2 linked regions of the Daphnia pulex genome follow. The main gene of each other region encodes a partner of the protein of the gene in region 2 in a complex. Links are inferred from orthologs where the notes say so. Each region holds a gene or a part of one and is shown on either strand. Other genes may lie near its edges.

Evidence for each region.
Region 1: DNA replication complex GINS protein PSF3-like (region 2) and zygotic DNA replication licensing factor mcm6-B-like share a complex: the UniProt entries of both Homo sapiens proteins name them as parts of the CMG helicase complex. The link is inferred for Daphnia pulex from reciprocal best matches to the Homo sapiens genes GINS3 and MCM6.

The regions. Positions count from the first base shown.
Region 1 is NC_060017.1:7,923,596-7,932,490, reverse strand, and holds zygotic DNA replication licensing factor mcm6-B-like, read right to left. Parts: upstream 4,333-8,895; 5' UTR 4,229-4,332; coding exon 4,137-4,228; intron 4,064-4,136; coding exon 3,920-4,063; intron 3,854-3,919; coding exon 3,589-3,853; intron 3,531-3,588; coding exon 3,382-3,530; intron 3,325-3,381; coding exon 3,069-3,324; intron 3,008-3,068; coding exon 2,711-3,007; intron 2,646-2,710; coding exon 1,664-2,645; intron 1,595-1,663; coding exon 1,464-1,594; intron 1,402-1,463; coding exon 1,294-1,401; 3' UTR 1,244-1,293; downstream 1-1,243. Other genes in the region: urea transporter 2-like, read left to right, coding at 41-225, 368-547; glycine-rich cell wall structural protein 1.8-like, read left to right, coding at 7,815-7,826, 7,937-8,620. UniProt on the Homo sapiens protein: Acts as a component of the MCM2-7 complex (MCM complex) which is the replicative helicase essential for 'once per cell cycle' DNA replication initiation and elongation in eukaryotic cells.
Region 2 is NC_060022.1:869,195-877,115, reverse strand, and holds DNA replication complex GINS protein PSF3-like, read right to left. Parts: upstream 3,297-7,921; 5' UTR 3,274-3,296; coding exon 3,165-3,273; intron 3,060-3,164; coding exon 2,921-3,059; intron 2,854-2,920; coding exon 2,724-2,853; intron 2,661-2,723; coding exon 2,520-2,660; intron 2,452-2,519; coding exon 2,362-2,451; 3' UTR 2,094-2,361; downstream 1-2,093. Other genes in the region: hepatocyte nuclear factor 4-gamma-like, read left to right, coding at 1-43, 106-200, 273-388, 732-902, 968-1,097, 1,162-1,281, 1,356-1,592, 1,677-2,014; serine/threonine-protein phosphatase 4 regulatory subunit 1-like, read right to left, coding at 5,240-5,406, 5,499-5,787, 5,870-7,489, 7,588-7,758. UniProt on the Homo sapiens protein: Required for correct functioning of the GINS complex, a complex that plays an essential role in the initiation of DNA replication, and progression of DNA replication forks.

The DNA.
Region 1 (8,895 bases), on a different chromosome or scaffold from region 2:
TACCTAAATTAGTTAATTGATTAATTCGGGAATCACTCAGCTCTTGGACTTACTGAAAACTACGCGGCAATCTATTCCGGTCTCTGGGGTTATAATTCTGCACTGACTGCAGGAGCTATTGCGGTTACATTTTACGTCCCGACAATGCTCTCGGCTTTCAACGCAGCCATGGCCGTAGTCTTCACCGCAGCCGCTCAACGCGCGTTCGGTCTTGTTCTGGCAACGGTACGTGGAAAACTACTGCAAAGTTTGAGTCATTATGTGTTAGTCTTGTCGGAATTTCAAAGGGCAAATTAATCACATGAGTCTGATGATAAGCCTAAGTATAAAAATCTTAATAATAATAATGTAATGTCATAATATTTAGGCTGGATTGCCGATTTTGACAATTCCTTTTGTCGTTACGAGTTCGATGTTTCTAGCTGTGAGCAGTGGGACTGGACGTGAAAGATTAGTCAAAGCTCCAGATGGTAGGCCACCTGAATACCAACGCAGGCGATTCACAAGATCTGCTTCTGCTATTCAAATCGAAGCATGTGATGTTTAAACATTCCAGAGTTGAGTTTAAAGTCTCGACACGCACCATCGTAAAAATAAACAAGGATATAAAATTAATTGGTCGAAATCTACTTTCGAGTAATTGATAAAACACAAGCGGCCCCGCAATTTAAGTGATAATAGGATTGGCCGTCTACAGCGGAATACTAATTACCGTCAAAAGTTGAATAACAAAAAGCAAAAAACATGACTATCACATGACGAGTTAAGGAAATTGAGCTTCCCATTAAAAAAAAATGTCAGATGCGATGTCAATTAACCAGAAAAATTACGTTTAAATTGAATTAGTGAAAATAACCCACTTCAGACTTTATTTCAAAAGTTTTTAATACTAGTTTCACACCTAAACAACGTTCGATACTAGAAATTCTATATTAGAAGTGTTTTCCTTATCCTTCTTTCCCATCATACAACCCAAGTTTGTTCTACCCAGGTACTTTTCAATGTTTATGAAATTCGAAATATGCTTTGGTCAAGATACAGAAAGTCCGAGCATCTGAGAATTCAACGCAAGCAAAATTTTTCGTCAGAAACATCGTAATAACTTAATTGGTGGCAAGAACCCAACAACTAATGATTGATGCATTATGACAACTATTTGAGAGATTTTTTTGACAAATCCCCCATTTATAACTTTAAATCTGTTGTTTCTTTTAAGTTTGTAAATGATGGATGACCACTGAGATTAAGTAAATATCATGTATGCGCAAGAAAAGTAAGAAAAGGAGCGAGTACTTATTCAAGAACAAAATTGGGGTGCACAACAAGGAGAGGATCCTCATCTTCAGCTACTTCTTCCTTACCAGCTAATCCAGTTCGACTTAATGGAATGATAACTTGGTCCTGAAAAGAAAAACGAAATTATTAATTCCAATTATTTGTAATTATTAAAATATAAATATTACCTGATATATAAGGCGACTGACGACACGTTCAACCAAAAGTTTTCTCTCGGTTAGTTCTTGTTCCGTTTCAATCTCATCAGCAATTTCGTTTAAATACCAATTGATGAGCGCACTTTTACGCGAGCTTTCGGCTGTAACGAGAAAAGAATTTGTTATTAAATAAATAATCTTGTTACAAGCGTTTTAGATGGCGAGCTTACTTTCATCCAAGGCCTCTTGGCGTCGTAAATACATAACGAGCAAGTTTGAAATAGCTTTGTAGCTCTCGAAGGTGATGGATATCTTTTTCTTCTGCACGGTGGGATCAACCGACTCACCACTAGCTCCCTTTTGCTTGTCAACATCTTCACTGGAAGGAACGCCATTCGTTTCTTCTTCCTCTACCGACAGATCTGGCTGTTCAGCATCTTCCAAATCAATATCGGGCTCTTCAACGCGGATGATGGATTTGTTCAGGAGCCTATAAGCTTCTTTAACATGGTCTTTTGTGACCAGACTCAGACAATACATGCGAGCCATCGCCTCTGACAAACGAATCAAGCTTTCCAATTGGCGAACAGTAATCCTTGAGGCTGACGAGGTTGAACCACCATCACGTTGACGAAGTTGGCGGTAGGCGTTAACCAGATAGTCAGCCGCTTCTTTACTGAGCTTCGGTTGGAATTTACGGGCGAATGTTATGTAGCGTCGGATATCCTCAGTCTGGTACACTCGTTCAATCGATTCAACGTTTCTCCTGTGAAGATCGACGATGCTACGGGCGATGGAATAGTCGACGACTTCATTACACTCATCAACTAAGATGAAAAAGAGATCAAAACGAGACATAATGGGCGCGGTCATCATCACGTTCTGTTTCAGGGATTTTGTTCGGTCGTATCGTCCTCCAATGGGATTGGCTGCAGCCAAGATTGAAGCTCGAGCGTTAAGTGTTGCTTTGACTCCGGCCTTGGTGATGGAGATGGTCTGCTGTTCCATGGCTTCGTGGATAGCAACTTGATCGCGAGGATCCATCTTGTCAAACTCGTCAATGCAACAGACACCATTATCTGCTAACATGAGTGCTCCCGCTTCGATAACGAATTCATACGATTCTTCATCTCGTACCACAGCAGCTGTTAAACCAGCTGCACTGGATGCTTTACCAGAAGTGTAAACTGCACGAGGGGTAAATTCGGCGACCTGGATGTAAAAGAAATTATAATAACAATAAAAGTAAGGAGGAAGAAAACTGTTGCCGAAATTACCTGCTTTAAAAACTGCGACTTTGCTGTACTGGGATCGCCAACTATGCAGACGTTGGTGTCTCCACGCAACGTAGTATGCTCAACGGTTTTTTTGGGAACACCGCCAAAGAGCATTAGTAGAATACCTCGCTTGATTTCGTCGTTTCCGTAAATGGTGGCAAACAGACTTTTGATCAAATTGTCGTACAAATTAACGTCCTGTGTCATATTGTAGATACGGTTCCAATCTTGCTCTGACATTTGATTTTTGATATCAACTGCTGTCATTTCCTCTTGATGCAAGTCTTTACCACCAAACTAATAATAAACCAACAGGGTTACCATTTAAATATCATTTTTATCGATAAACTTGACTTACCATGGGGTTGCTTTGGGTAACACTGCAAGCTAAGAAAGCCAGTCGGTAGTTTAGGTCCCTGACACCCAAATTTTTCAGTCCGCGGACACCTTCAGTTTCCGGACCTTCACCAGTTTTCCGTGATCCACTTTCCGCTCGAGCACCAGGTACAGAGATAGAACCGACATCAGGGACAACGATAAGAGTTCCAGTGAAATCGCACTTATCACCAGCTTGCGCTGTTTCCACTGCTTCAGCTCGTAGAATAACCTCAACACTAAACAGATTGGCGTACACTTTACTAGTCATGAGTAATTCAACACTTTGAAGTTACCTGCGTGGAATACATCCTCGAGGGAGTTCTGCTTGCGTTTCCTGAATTCGAACTTTTTGAAAATCAACGAACCGGGACTTGTTAACATTTAGCATGAATCGACTTCTGTTGAAGCAGACAGGGTTGCGGCAAATAGAAGGTTGTGTGTACTGCAAAATAAAATCATTAAAAAAAATTTGAATAAAAATAAATGTGTTTCTACCTTACCTTGAACTGTTGTTCTACATCCTTAATGACTGTTTGACAATCTAGGCAAACAAAGGTAGCGCTGACCAATTCTGGATGAACTGGATGGGTACGAATAACTTGGCCAGATATCTGAAAGAGCGAGCCAATGCTAGCTGTCTTCAAGTCTCTGACCTTGTATTTTGAGCTGACATCAACAAAGCTGATGTACAGTTCTTTCTCCACATTGAAATCAGCCTTATCTCTCACATAGGAATAAACAGCTTGGCAAATGAAAGGGTAAACACTAAATGTATAAAAGACATCAATTAATGTTCAAGTTGTTCAGAAATGTCATAGTAAGGAACAATACCGGTAATATTCAGCCACGATTGTGACAGCCAAATTGCTGTTATATTTCTCGACATCCTGAAAGCTGACTTGAAGTGTATTTCTTTCTGGTTTTACAAGTTCTTTAGCCTTTTCCAAGTACTTTACTTCACCATCAACTTCAAAACTAGAGAAAGAAAGTTTTTGCATCACCCAGCTAAGCATGTATCAATCATTCATGAACAGCTTTGTACACTTACCCTTCAAGGAAATCCAAGAACAATTTTTGACACCTTTGAGCAACATCATCCTTGAGTTTATTTTGTACTTGTTGAGCACCTGCAACATCCATAGTTTAAGATAATCAAAGGAAAAATAGGGATAAAACTTTGATCACCACTTTTCGTGCAAGAACAAACACGCAGAATGAGCAGACAACGAAATTCTGGCGCGAAAATGGCAATGAGAAAGATTGCGACGTTGTCAGGCACAAAGAAAAAAAACAAAGAAAATCTGAAATTCAAATGTGATTTTCCGAGTTTTCGACTTTTTAAAAATGTTTTAAAAATAATAAAATGTTTACAGAAAAATGTATTGAACTAACCAAATTTTTTTATTGTGTATATTTGTCTCTTGCCAGGCCTGCAGGCCAAATTAGTGGATACCGACATACCTAATAATAATTACCTGGCGGATTGTTTACTGATCCTCTGACTGATTATCAATTTTCGATCATTATATTTGGTTTATTATTCTTATTTAAGGGAAAATTTGTATTTCATTTGAATGAATAATATGGGTAATAACTTCAAAATTGTAAATAGACGGAAATCATTTTCGTTAACTAATGCGTTCAATTTATAAATCAGAAAATAAATCTCGCCAGGTAGTTGCAGATGTTTTTCCGGATCCCGGTGCCCATATAAGTTCACACCATGACTTACAATGACCATGCTCAGTTTAGAGTGTTTTCTCAAAAAGTCAAACATACGACGATTTGAAAATGACAAACCAAAAGGAAATTGTTCTTCAGGAATCGATTGAAGCAGTGAAAGATGTCGAAATGGTGTGGATCACCAATTTGGCTCGTGAGACTTCCGAGCAAGAAATTGTCAACTTTTTCGAAAAATACGTCGGACCGGTCGATTGTCTTACAAAGCACCATAACGCAGATGGCCACTATATGTGCAAAGCCGCAATATATTTCCACCAGCCAGATCATGCCCGGAAAGCCCTCTTCTACGACGGAACAAAGTTGGGCGGTCGTCGAATGAATATCAAACTCTTCGTGAACCAGAAACGTGTGTATAAGGATCAAATCGTAATCCCTGGCCCAGTTTATTCAACCCTGTTGCCAACTTCCAAGCCAACTTCACTGGAGAATCGTTCGTACACACCTTTAACTGATTACGTCATCTACCAAGATTTTCAGAATAATGGCCAATTCCACCAGTCACAAGAACCGGAAGTAACACAGGATTCTATCCCACTATGCCACGAATCCCCGCAGTCTGACATCAGCGTACGCGAGGAATATTTGTTTGTTTCGAACTTGCAATACTCGACCACCGGGAAACAAATATTGGACTACTTTGAAGAGTGGGTTGGTCCGGTTCAGTCTGTTGGTATGTGTCTTGATGACAAGGGATTCTTAAACGGAAAAGCCAAGATCACTTTCCGCCAACCAGATGACGCTCGAAGAGCTCTCATGCTCAACTATGGAACACGGAAGTTAAACGGCCGTTCAATGGTTTTCAAACATTATGTCAACGGAAAGCCGATGCGTGCGAACTGGATCTTTTCGCTTAATAATTCGGATGAGCTGCAGTCGGATAATTGGATTCGTTCCGTTCCATTCGTGTCTTTGCCATCGCTCAATTCTATGGCCGAATATTTCCCGGGCGATCCGATCCTTGACACGACATTCATCTCTCCCAGCAGCAGCAAATTGGAATTTGGCATCGAACATCCTCAAGGTCCAGGCATTCCGCCTTTCTTACCGTTGGTATTCGCCATAGATTGTGTCCGGCCTTACAAACCGCCAGTTTAAATCAAGACACATTTCAGAAACTAAAATTCATCGCCATCTGTATGTACTGTCGCATTACAGGTTTAAATTTCAATAAATAAAAATAAAAATAAAATTTGTTATTGTTTTCTTTCGTAACGTTTTACACAACACCCAACGACAAGGCGACTGATTTCGGTCGCCTTATCTCTTTTTCTAAAATCAAAAGTATATTTTTGTTATTCCGTCCGACGATTGTGAATAAATTCATGAATGTCACTAACCAAATTGATATCCAAAATTAACACCCGGATGTTTAAACCAGTTTTCGGTGGTGTAAAGACCACCAACGTTCTTTAAACCAGTTTAGAGCAGAAAAACCGGAGTCGTATTCAAAAAGGGGGAATTATTTTAGCTGTCCTCTAATGTGGTTTTGAAGGACTAATTTGAGTCAGTTTAAATATTAACTAGTGCAACGCAATTTAGGTTATACATGAAGGACGGATACAAAATTGTTGAAAGTAACGAGGTAGATTAAATGAGATGTACTTGACTCGAATTTCTACTCGTTTCCAAATTAATTGTTTAATAAACCAAACATAAACTCAAGTTATTATCTCATCAGACTGCATTATTAAGCGGCACTAGCGCTGCTGGTGACGAAAGGGAGACGGTCGTTAAAGTCGCCGTTTGGCGGACGAGTTGGCGGACCGTGAGAAAAGTACCGAAAAAGATTCACGAAACAGTATAAGATGTTTGCGGTGTAAAAGCTTCTCTTATCGATTTGCTAAACTAAAAATAAAAGTGAATTGAATCTGATTGCCATTAATGCACTGTTTTGCTTTGCAATCTCTCTCTTTTGTGAAAACTGTGTGGCATTGATGGTATTTAAACTTGTTCTTATTTAGCAGAGTTTGACCATGACGTTGCAATACACATCAGGATTAAAGCAGTTATTACTGGTACTTGTGGTCAAATGCGCCATCACGTTTGAAGAATAACAAAGGTGAGAAACTTGTGCATGCAATTTGTCGTTCACTTCAAACGCTGCTGGCCATGGCGATCATCAGCATTGCCTTGGGCTGGCTGACTATTGTTAGGGTTTTCCCGAGGAAAGTAAACGGTTCATTGGTGTATACAAGTCGTTCCGACCAAGCACAGCCATCCAGATAAAGCAGTAGGGGAAAAAAAAATGACGAACAAAGGAGGAACAATTTTATCCACAGGGCTGCTTGCACGCTGCTTATGGCTGCGTTGTGGCAACGCATCCGCGACCGGAACGGAACGACATTGCGGTTCGGCAATTTTCAATGTAGAAGATGATTCATTTTTCTTCTTTTCACATGCCATCCTTATTTACGATATCATTTTTAAGTGATATGGATTGATGATGTGACGAACATATTATAAGCCTTTTGCTGATGCCTTCGTAATTGAGAAAACTCAAAATTAAGAAAATCACCCTCAGGAATTGGACCTTGAAATGTAGCTACCTTGATAAATTGATCTTTTTAAAAAATAAATGTCACAACAGAAAAAAAGAATCAAATGAAATGATCGACTGAAGTGATATCGTAGGCTAGATTATGATGATGCTATCTAACAAAGCGTCCATTGAAATATAGCCTTCTGAAAAAGCAAACGCCCTTTGTACAAAATTACTACAGCAAAAATCAAATAATCATCGTCAAGTTGTATTGCGTTGTGGGCTAGCTCAGGGAGAGACCTCGAGCACTTGGGGAATTCCGCCAATTTTCATCCAACAGCAGCGTCTGCTTTCAAGGTAATGCGGTATTATTTTAACTTATATAACTGAACGCCATGCTGTAGCCGTGAAGATGAATCTGTATAAAAGACACGGACAAACCTTCCATCGGCACCAATCGCTTCAGCTCCTCAGCAAGTTCAACTTCTAACAATCAGCACAGTCATGAAAATTGTGGTAAAATCCCAAATAATTCTTTTCATTTATGATTGATGTTATAGAGACATTATTTGTGATTGCAATAATTTCATCAATTTAATTTTATTGTACTTGCTGTATATGATCAGATCGCCCTAGCCTGTTTGGTGGCCTTTGCCGCAGCCGTTGAAGAAACTGCTGGACAAATCGACGCCGATCAGGACGTGGCTGAGCAACGCTATGGAGGACACGGAGGAGGACATCGCGGTGGCCATCACGGCGGACGTGGTGGTGGAGGCGGTCACCATGGCGGACGCTACGGACGCTCTCTCGAAGAAGCCCAACCATTCATCGTCGCCGAGTTCCAGCCCGAGTATGTCGATTATGTCTCGGATGATCTGCAATTAGCCGAGAACCGGAACTACGGAGGCAACAGAGGCCACGGAAGCGGTGGACACCGCGGTCGCCGCTCCATTGAAGATGAGAATGCTGTCGCCATTGAAGATTTGGAAGCCGCTGAACATCACAGCGGAGGCTACAGAGGACACAGCAGCGGCGGCTCTGGGTACGGACAATCCGGTAGTTACGGCAACAGAGGCTCATCGGGAGGCAGTGGATATGGGGGACAACACCGCGGTGGCCGCTCCGTTCAAGAGATTGCTGGCGCCATTGAAGATTTGGAAGTCGCTGAACACCACAGCAAAGGCTACAACAGAGGCGGCAGCAGCGGCGGCTCTAGCTACCGAAACCACGGAAGCAGCAGCGGTTATGACAGCAGACCCAGCGGCGGCGGACATGGCAGCCACTCGGGACACGGTGGTCGTCGTTATTAACACGAAAAAAGCATGGCAAACAAGCAGCAAACGTTCTATGCTGATTCTTATTCAAAAGAGGCAACAAAAAAGAAAAACGCGCAAAATTTTAAGGTCAAATTGGTTTGGTATTTTAATCAATTGCTCGTTTGGGTTCAATAAAACGATTTCGTCACTGGGGATATAATACGAATCTGGTTGTTTCTTTCTTTAGATTTCACCGACAGGTTAATAAAAGAAAATTTCTTTTTTCAGAAGAGAAATGAGCTGATAGTCGTAGAAAGAACGCAGGGACA
Region 2 (7,921 bases):
TCTTCCGCCGATCAGTCAGGAAAAATCACGTCTACACTTGCCGGTATCTAATCATTAATAATTACAAATTTTTAAAAGCATTTCAAAACTTTCTTCATCCAATAGGTTCAATCGTCATTGCGTGGTAGACAAAGATAAACGGAATCAATGCCGCTATTGCCGGCTTGGCAAATGCTTCAAAGCTGGCATGAAGAAAGAAGGTATAACTGGCTAGAAAAATAAAAAAGTGTCAAATAACATTCAATATACAATCGTTTTGTGTGTCACAACAGCCGTTCAAAACGAACGAGATCGAATCAGCAGTCGTCGACCGAGTTACGAAGAACCGGTTTCTGCCAATGGGTTGACCATAAGTGTTCTCATCAATGCCGAAACCATGAGCCGACAGGTAAAAATTTGGTTACTTGATTTCTATTCGTCAAACCCCTTAAATCTGAATTATAACCTTATAAAAATTCCCAACTCTTTGTTGGGAATCGCTTGCTTGTCAATTGTCCGTTTGTCGCCCATTTCCTTCTATCGCATCTTTAACTGACCTACAACCGCCTCATAATTTCACTAACAGTTTGCTCAAGTTTGATCAATTTTTTTTCTTCTCGTTTCTATCTTTTTTCTCTCACACACACACACACTACTATCATTCACTCTCTTGCGAAAAATAAAAAAAATCTGTGCGAATGTGCTGCGATTTTTTTCCTTGTCCCTCTCCCGATCAACTCTTTCCTTTCTAGTGTGAAAATTTGTATTTAAATCAGCTCTCAGCCGTCAACGATTACGATTTGAACAGCAAACGGATGGCTACCATCAACGACGTTTGCGAATCAATGAAACAGCAGTTGCTCTTCTTGGTCGAATGGGCCAAATACATCCCCGTTTTCAGCGAATTGCCACTGGATGATCAGGTAGACACATTTTAAAAAAAATTTCGTTTTTAGCCAATTTGATGATGTCGAATTCGAATTTCAAGGTGGCGTTATTGAGGGCCCACGCGGCAGAAAACCTCGTTTTGGGAGTTGCTCGAAGATCTATGCATTTAAGAGACATTCTTCTACTGGGCAACGATTCCATCATGCCCAGACAATCGGCTGGACTTGGAGGTTAACACTAGCTGCCTTATTGCCAAAAGATGTTGTTAATGATTCCTATTTGGCAAACATGCAGAGATCGAGATTTACCATATTGGCATTCGAATAATGGACGAGATTGTGAAACCTCTACGAGATATTCAAATGGATGATACGGAGTACACCTGCCTCAAGGCCATCGTCTTCTTCGATCCTAGTAATAAAAAAACGTCGATTGCCAACTTACTATTTGAATCTTGAGTCTGACGTGAGCCTTTGGGATGGCACCAGATGCAAAAGGTCTGGGAGAGCCGGCCAGGGTAAAAGGGATTCGCTACCAGATTCAACAGTTGCTGGAAGACTACGTGGCCGATCGACAGTACGCAAGTCGAGGTCGGTTCGGCGAGTTGCTGCTGGCCTTGCCGCCACTCCAGTCAGTTGCTTGGCAAATGATTGAGCAGATCCAGCAAGCCAGATACTTTGGAGTGACCCGCATCGATTCTCTGCTACAGGAAATGCTTCTAGGAGGTATTAATAGAATTTGAAAAAAAAAAACAGTTATTTGAATTGGTTAACGATCGATTAAACACACAATCTTACCAACATTTGAAGGAGCTTCACTTGAATCGGTTGGTAATGCAAACAATTCTGCCCCTTCGTCCGGGTACAATCCGCCCGTTGTGGTCCCATCTGCACTGACCGCAATGGCTCCACTTTCAGCAGATTCGTCTCCCACACACTCAACGGGTCCATCTCTTACAACTCTTCCTCTCCTGAATGGGCAAAACGGATTAGGTGGGCATCAGTCCATGATGATGGACCGTGGACCACCGCTGACCATGTCTCCAGACTCTGAGGATGACGCCTTTCCCTTGGGAGGATTGTCCAATCACCACCACCAGCCTTTCAAACAAGAGGTGACGGAAGGAATGGACAATGCGTACACATAGATACTTGACCGTTCCCGAATTTTACAAAAAGAAAGAAAAATGATAAAAAAAGAGAAAAAAAGGGTTTTGTTTTGTTAAGTTAAAGTTTTAAGAGATAATCTATTCGATTTGAGAATTGCGCGGCAAATATTTTCCAAAGATGAGTAGCACAATTACTATAACAGGGACTCAACATATCCATCGTGTTGCTACCATCAGGGGTTTTTTTTCCATTCAAATGTGCGTCATTTCTATTAAAAACAAACGAGTTAATTGCTTCTGATTGACTGTGTCGAACTTCATAGTTGCTCAATATAATTGTTAATTAGATAGGGGCCAAATACATCTGACAAACTGGTAATTGAATCTTAAACAGTCACTTCTGCAAATTTTCTCTTTCTGTGACTGGCTACTAGAGTAGCTGTGTTGATCTTGCTGGATTCTCTTCGGACCCATTCCTATTGAAGCAAAAGTGATTACAAAAACAATAGAGAAATGATGCATCAAAATCTATATTAATGAATACCTTGTAGCTTCTGTAACTCAACTGACCCACTCCAAACAACTTTCTTTCTAATTCATCCAAGTTTGCAATTATGTGTACTGTTTCGTGGTGTGTGGAATGTTGAGACATGTCCATAATTTGTCTCAAACGGTTACGAAGGGTCTGCACACAAAAATTTGTAGTAGTTAGAGAAAGTTATATGCAAACAGAATTTGGGTAATCAACCTCAACCAGGCTCCTCTTGATATCAAGAGAATCCTTTAATTCAAGATTTGCCACATGAAGTCCCAGATCATAGAAATAGGGTCCCCATTTGTGGAGGTCAACAACTATACTGTCTGCCTGGAGGATCTGTCTATAGAATTTGGAAGTGAAATTGGATTTAATCCAGAAAACGAAACTTTGTCAAGATATTTAACTACCTGTAATTGACTTTGTAGTGCCTTGGAATTTCAAGTGTTACAATTTTTTTGGCATGAAGGGTGGGTACCATCCAGAACGGCAATTCTACTTTGCTTCCTTGTTTGAGGTTTTCATCGTCAGCCGACTGATCAAGCATACCTGAATTGGAAGAAAAGGAGATATAACTTTGTAATCAGCTTAATTACATGATTAACTATTTAAAAACCAATAAACTTAAAATCTAATAAACAAGCTATTGTTTACCTAACTTGGGAACAGCCACTTCGAATTTGCAAGACACCCTGACATCTTGAAGCACAATGTCTTCTATAGAAAAATAGTTTGGACTATAGCTAAAATGCAAGTGAGGCATTATAAAAGTCGTCAAGAGTTGATTACAAGTCAAAATTAGAATGAAAAGAAAATTGTAAAGACAAGATTAGAATTCAATGTTGTTTGATCGTCACAACGAGATGTCAGCAGTCGTTTTCCCGCTCTGCACCGCGTTGCCACATCATCCACAGTCAACATTTTCTTTTTTCTTTTGGGAAGACGCCCAAAATGGTCGACTCTATGCCACAAATTGCTTGACGGTTTTGGTTAAAGTTATTTCCCCCGAAAAACCTCATCGTAAAAAAGGGTCTACGTGTGACGGCGAGCTGAGTCACGCGTTCAGCCGTTCACCTGGCTCGTAATTACTTGAGAGAAATGATGTATTTGCGAGTTATTGCGCCAAGGATTCCGAGACAGGTAATCTCTTGTCGAAAACTAGGAGCCGCCATATTTTCGAGCTTCGACTTGTCCAACAAACAGAAGCAGCTTGTGCTTGTGCTGTCTGTTAGCCGAGCCAAGTGATTGCGTCGTCGGAAGACAGAAATAAACCTGGAGCCCTTCCCTTGGGTTTCCTCCACCGCGCCAGCAGCAGCAGCAGCAGAGTCAACTCTGCTCGAATAGAAATATCGTCTCGAAAAGATATTTCGGCCAATCGTCGCTCCCTTGACGTGATTGGTACGCAGACACCCACTCTCGATTCGTTTCTTCTTCTCCGGAACTATTCCCGCTATTATCTCTATTCACTTTGATATTTAATTTACATAAACTCGCGAGTTCATTTTTCACACAATTTGGTGTGATTGAATGAATTCTATTAGCTATTCATTCCGTGATGGTGTCGGAGGTTTTTCTTTTTTTCTGACTTGCTTAATGGGCGTAAAACCGTGAGAAACCCCATGGAAAAGTTCTTTTTCAATTCAAGTACAACCGGAAGAAGCTATGGAATCGTCTTTCCGTTTAAAAAATAAATAAATGGAGAAAAAACCACAAAATTTGTCTCATGTTTTTTTACTTTTCCTTAAAAAAAAAAAATAACTTTTTTTTTCCCTTAAAGTCTGTCGTCATCAGTGCGCGTCTTGACGATCAGCTAAGGAAAATCTATTTTCAAAGCTGTTGGCTCTGTTTCTTTAAAAAAAAAGGGGCGAGGGGAGAGAGCAATGGTAAAAAAGAAAATGGTTGCAGCTTTTTTTATTTGATAAATATAGAACCGTTTCTCTTGTTACACGAGTAAACAACGAGCTCCCCCACCCACACAAGACGGGGGCCACTCCTTGTTTTTTAATCTTTTTCGACTCGCGTGTGTACCTCATTAAGATGTTTGCACTTTTGTTTTATCGATGGCTTCATTAAACCAAGCGAGCACATTTTTTCCATTATTTCGGGAGCCAAATGATATTGGGGCCAGAAGAAGAAGAAGAACGACAAGAACGCGGTTGCACGTAGGCAAAAATTATTTTGATGTATTTTTTTTTCCGTCTACCAATCAGGTTAGGTGGCGGTCACCACCACATCACAGTAAGGGCATAGCGGACAACAACTTGTACAACAATCCCTCCTCCCCCCATCTCTCTACACGATTTTTTACTTGCAAAAGAAAAAAGGAAAAACTTTTTTATTTTTTAAAAAAAGGAGGGAAACATGAATGAATTGATTTTTGTTTGAATTTCATTTGTTTTTAAATCGGGGCGTTCGTCTCCCGCACCAATTGCGTGATTTACTTACACAACACACAGGTAATCGTCTTGTTTGTACAAGGCACCACACAGCAACACTCATCCGCGCCAAGACTTTTTATAGGGGGGAACTCCCTTGTGTTAGTGGGGGGGCTGATTATTTAAAAAACGAAAGAGATCAAAGATGATAAGAGAAGAGGTGAGGAGGAAAAAAGGATGGAAGGGAGGAGTCGACAAGTTTTGTTTTTCGTTGTGTTGGCATCATGCAAAAAGAATCAAATGTGTGTGAATGTGTACAGTTTTTTTGTGTTTGTATTCTTTGAATTGGGGCTATCACGCAATGTTGTTGTCCTCCGTCGGAAGATCCAATGAATTGATTTGCGTCTGATTCCGTTTGACTGTGGCGTAGTACGAAACGTCACGATCCTCATCGGCCGACAGTTGATTGAGCGTCTCGTCCAGCGATTCCCGGTACGGACTGTCTGATCCAGCGAAAAACTCTGTTGGTAATTCAAGACAAACACATTGTAGTACCACACACCAAGTGTTGAAAACAAAAAAAAAAAACAATTGAAAGACAAATAATACTAACCGTGATATTTGAGCTGGAAATTGATGACTCTGGCCAAGACGAGCCGGACGTTGGGCACGCGGTCTTGTTTGAGCGCCAGCAAAGGTGCCAGAAGAAGTTTACCAAACTCTTCCAGCGGCAAAGCGCGGTCCGTCACCAGCTGGTTGCAGATGTTGACGTAGCTCTGTCGGAGCATCCAGCGATTGCCGGAGCAGAAACGGGTCGTTAGGTCGGCAAGAAGAGGAGTGAGCATCGATTCGGCATCGTCGGCCCAGCTGTTTTCCGACACCTGCTTCATTATTTGACTAACCTGAAAGGAAGAACAAAGTTTAAAAAAATGTGTGTCTATCGTGTTGCTGCTATGGCCGGATGGATGGAAGCAAAATACTTACGAGTGTGAAGGCAGGGAGACGGACGGCGGCTACGCGATCCGACGCCAGAGTCAAGGCTAGTGGCAAGATGGATTGAGCGCTGTCGGCGGGCGAAAAGAGAGCCACTACCGACTGCAGTTGCAGGGCCAACTCTTGACGGAAGCGCCAATTCTGTTCGTTATCCAGCTTGAGGAACTCGGCCAAGCGAGGCAGATAACTCCGGCGCTCCTTCTCGGCCAGCAAGCCAAGGAAATCGCTCAAGTGCTTCAAAACGCCGACGCGCACCTCGTCCAGGTCTTTGATGAAACCATCAAAGACGGGCAACAAGTCCTGCGTCACCACCTCTTGGCCTAAAATGGCGCCAATCTCGTGGATGCTCGACGCCAGAGTCCTGCGCACCTTCCACTGCATGTCCGAGGCCAGCGTCGTGTAGAGATCGCGCAGCAGCGGCCAGTGCTCCTTGCCCAGCGTGCAGACGACGGCCGGCAAGCTGTAGGCGCAATGGCGAGTGATCTCGGCGTCGACCGTCTCCACGTAATAAGGGTCCGTCATCTGCAGGTAATAGTCCATCAGATTTTGCGGTACAACCGATTGACTGAGGGTGATGGACGAGCGCTTGGAAGACGAGCCGTAGGGACTGTAGGGTCGTGAGCGGCCGGCCTCGATGATGCCACCGCCGCTCATGCTGCCTCCGTCTGAACGCCGTCGCGGTGAATAATAGGGGCAAAATGAATTTGAATAGACGGTGGTGGTGGACAAGTCGTTGCTGCTGCTGTTGGCACTGGTCGTCGTGGTGGCGTTACTCTTGACGTAGGCGGGTGGTAAAAGAAGATTGGGTTGAAACAGAGACGAAGCCGACGACATGACGGTCGCCAAAGAGGTAGTGACACTAGACGAGAGTAACGTCGGCTGGACCGAACCGTCGGCGGCCGTCGGTTTAGACTCGGCCGACAAATCGTTGGTTCCCTCATCGGCGGCGGTATTGGGTGGTGAGCTAACGATGTTACCACTGCTGGCAGCCACCGGAGCTCCTAATAATTCCTGACAGGCTACTCTCCTCAAGTCAAAGGCGTGAACTGGCTCGGGAACCAGTTCACCGGATGCTGGTTGAGTTGTTGCAGCGGCAGCGGCTTCAATAGTTGTTGCTGTTGTTCCACCGCCCAACTCGACACGAGCCATCAAATCCTCTAGTGCCTTTTCGACGCTATCCGAGACCGACTCTTCGTTGTTTGCTGCCTCGGATGAGACAAGAGGCTGCGACGGATCGCCTTGGTTGTTGGTGGTTGGAGGCATCAAATTCAATTGCGGTAGAGGGTCTCTCCAGAAATAAAAAGAATTAAAATCCGATTCGACCGGCTCGGCTTCGGCTGTTTCGGCCGTGGCCGACGACGACAGTGAAGTCGAAGTCGATTCGCGTTCCGTTTCCATCCGTGAAAAGGTGGAAATAAAAGGACCCAGGGCCTGGAAGGCGGCCATTCGAACCCAACGCGACTCGTCTTGAAGGAGGTTGACAAAGAGACTGCCCAGGTCGTTGCGTCTCTTGCTGGCCGAGACGACGCGCGATAGGCTCATGAAGACTTCGGCGCAGGCTTTGCGAACACCCCACAGCTCATCTTGGCACAGTGCATAAAACTTGTCCAACTGTTATAAACAGAGAGAAAAGGACATTTTAAATAATTATCATCATCTCGTTTCCGGTTGAATAGAATTAAAAATAAAAGAAAAATGAAAAAACTCACCAGGATGGACTCGGTGACCTCTTGACCGACGACCGCACAAAACTCTCCGAAATTGGCAGCGCAGATCTTGCGGACGTGAAAGAGGCCGTCTGCCGACAGAGCGGCAAATCTTTCGAGGAAAACACGGCGCGACAGGTCACCGCCCAGCAGCGGTGCCATCCGACACATCAACTTTGGGGTGTCAAACAAACATCAGCCGAGTTAGCATAATACATGGCGAGCTTTATATTTTTATTTTAAAAAGACAAAAACCCCCAATGTGACATGTTAAAATCAACATTTTCCTGATGCAACAAGTCGAGCGTAGCGCTCATCAAAGCTGGCTGTGATACGA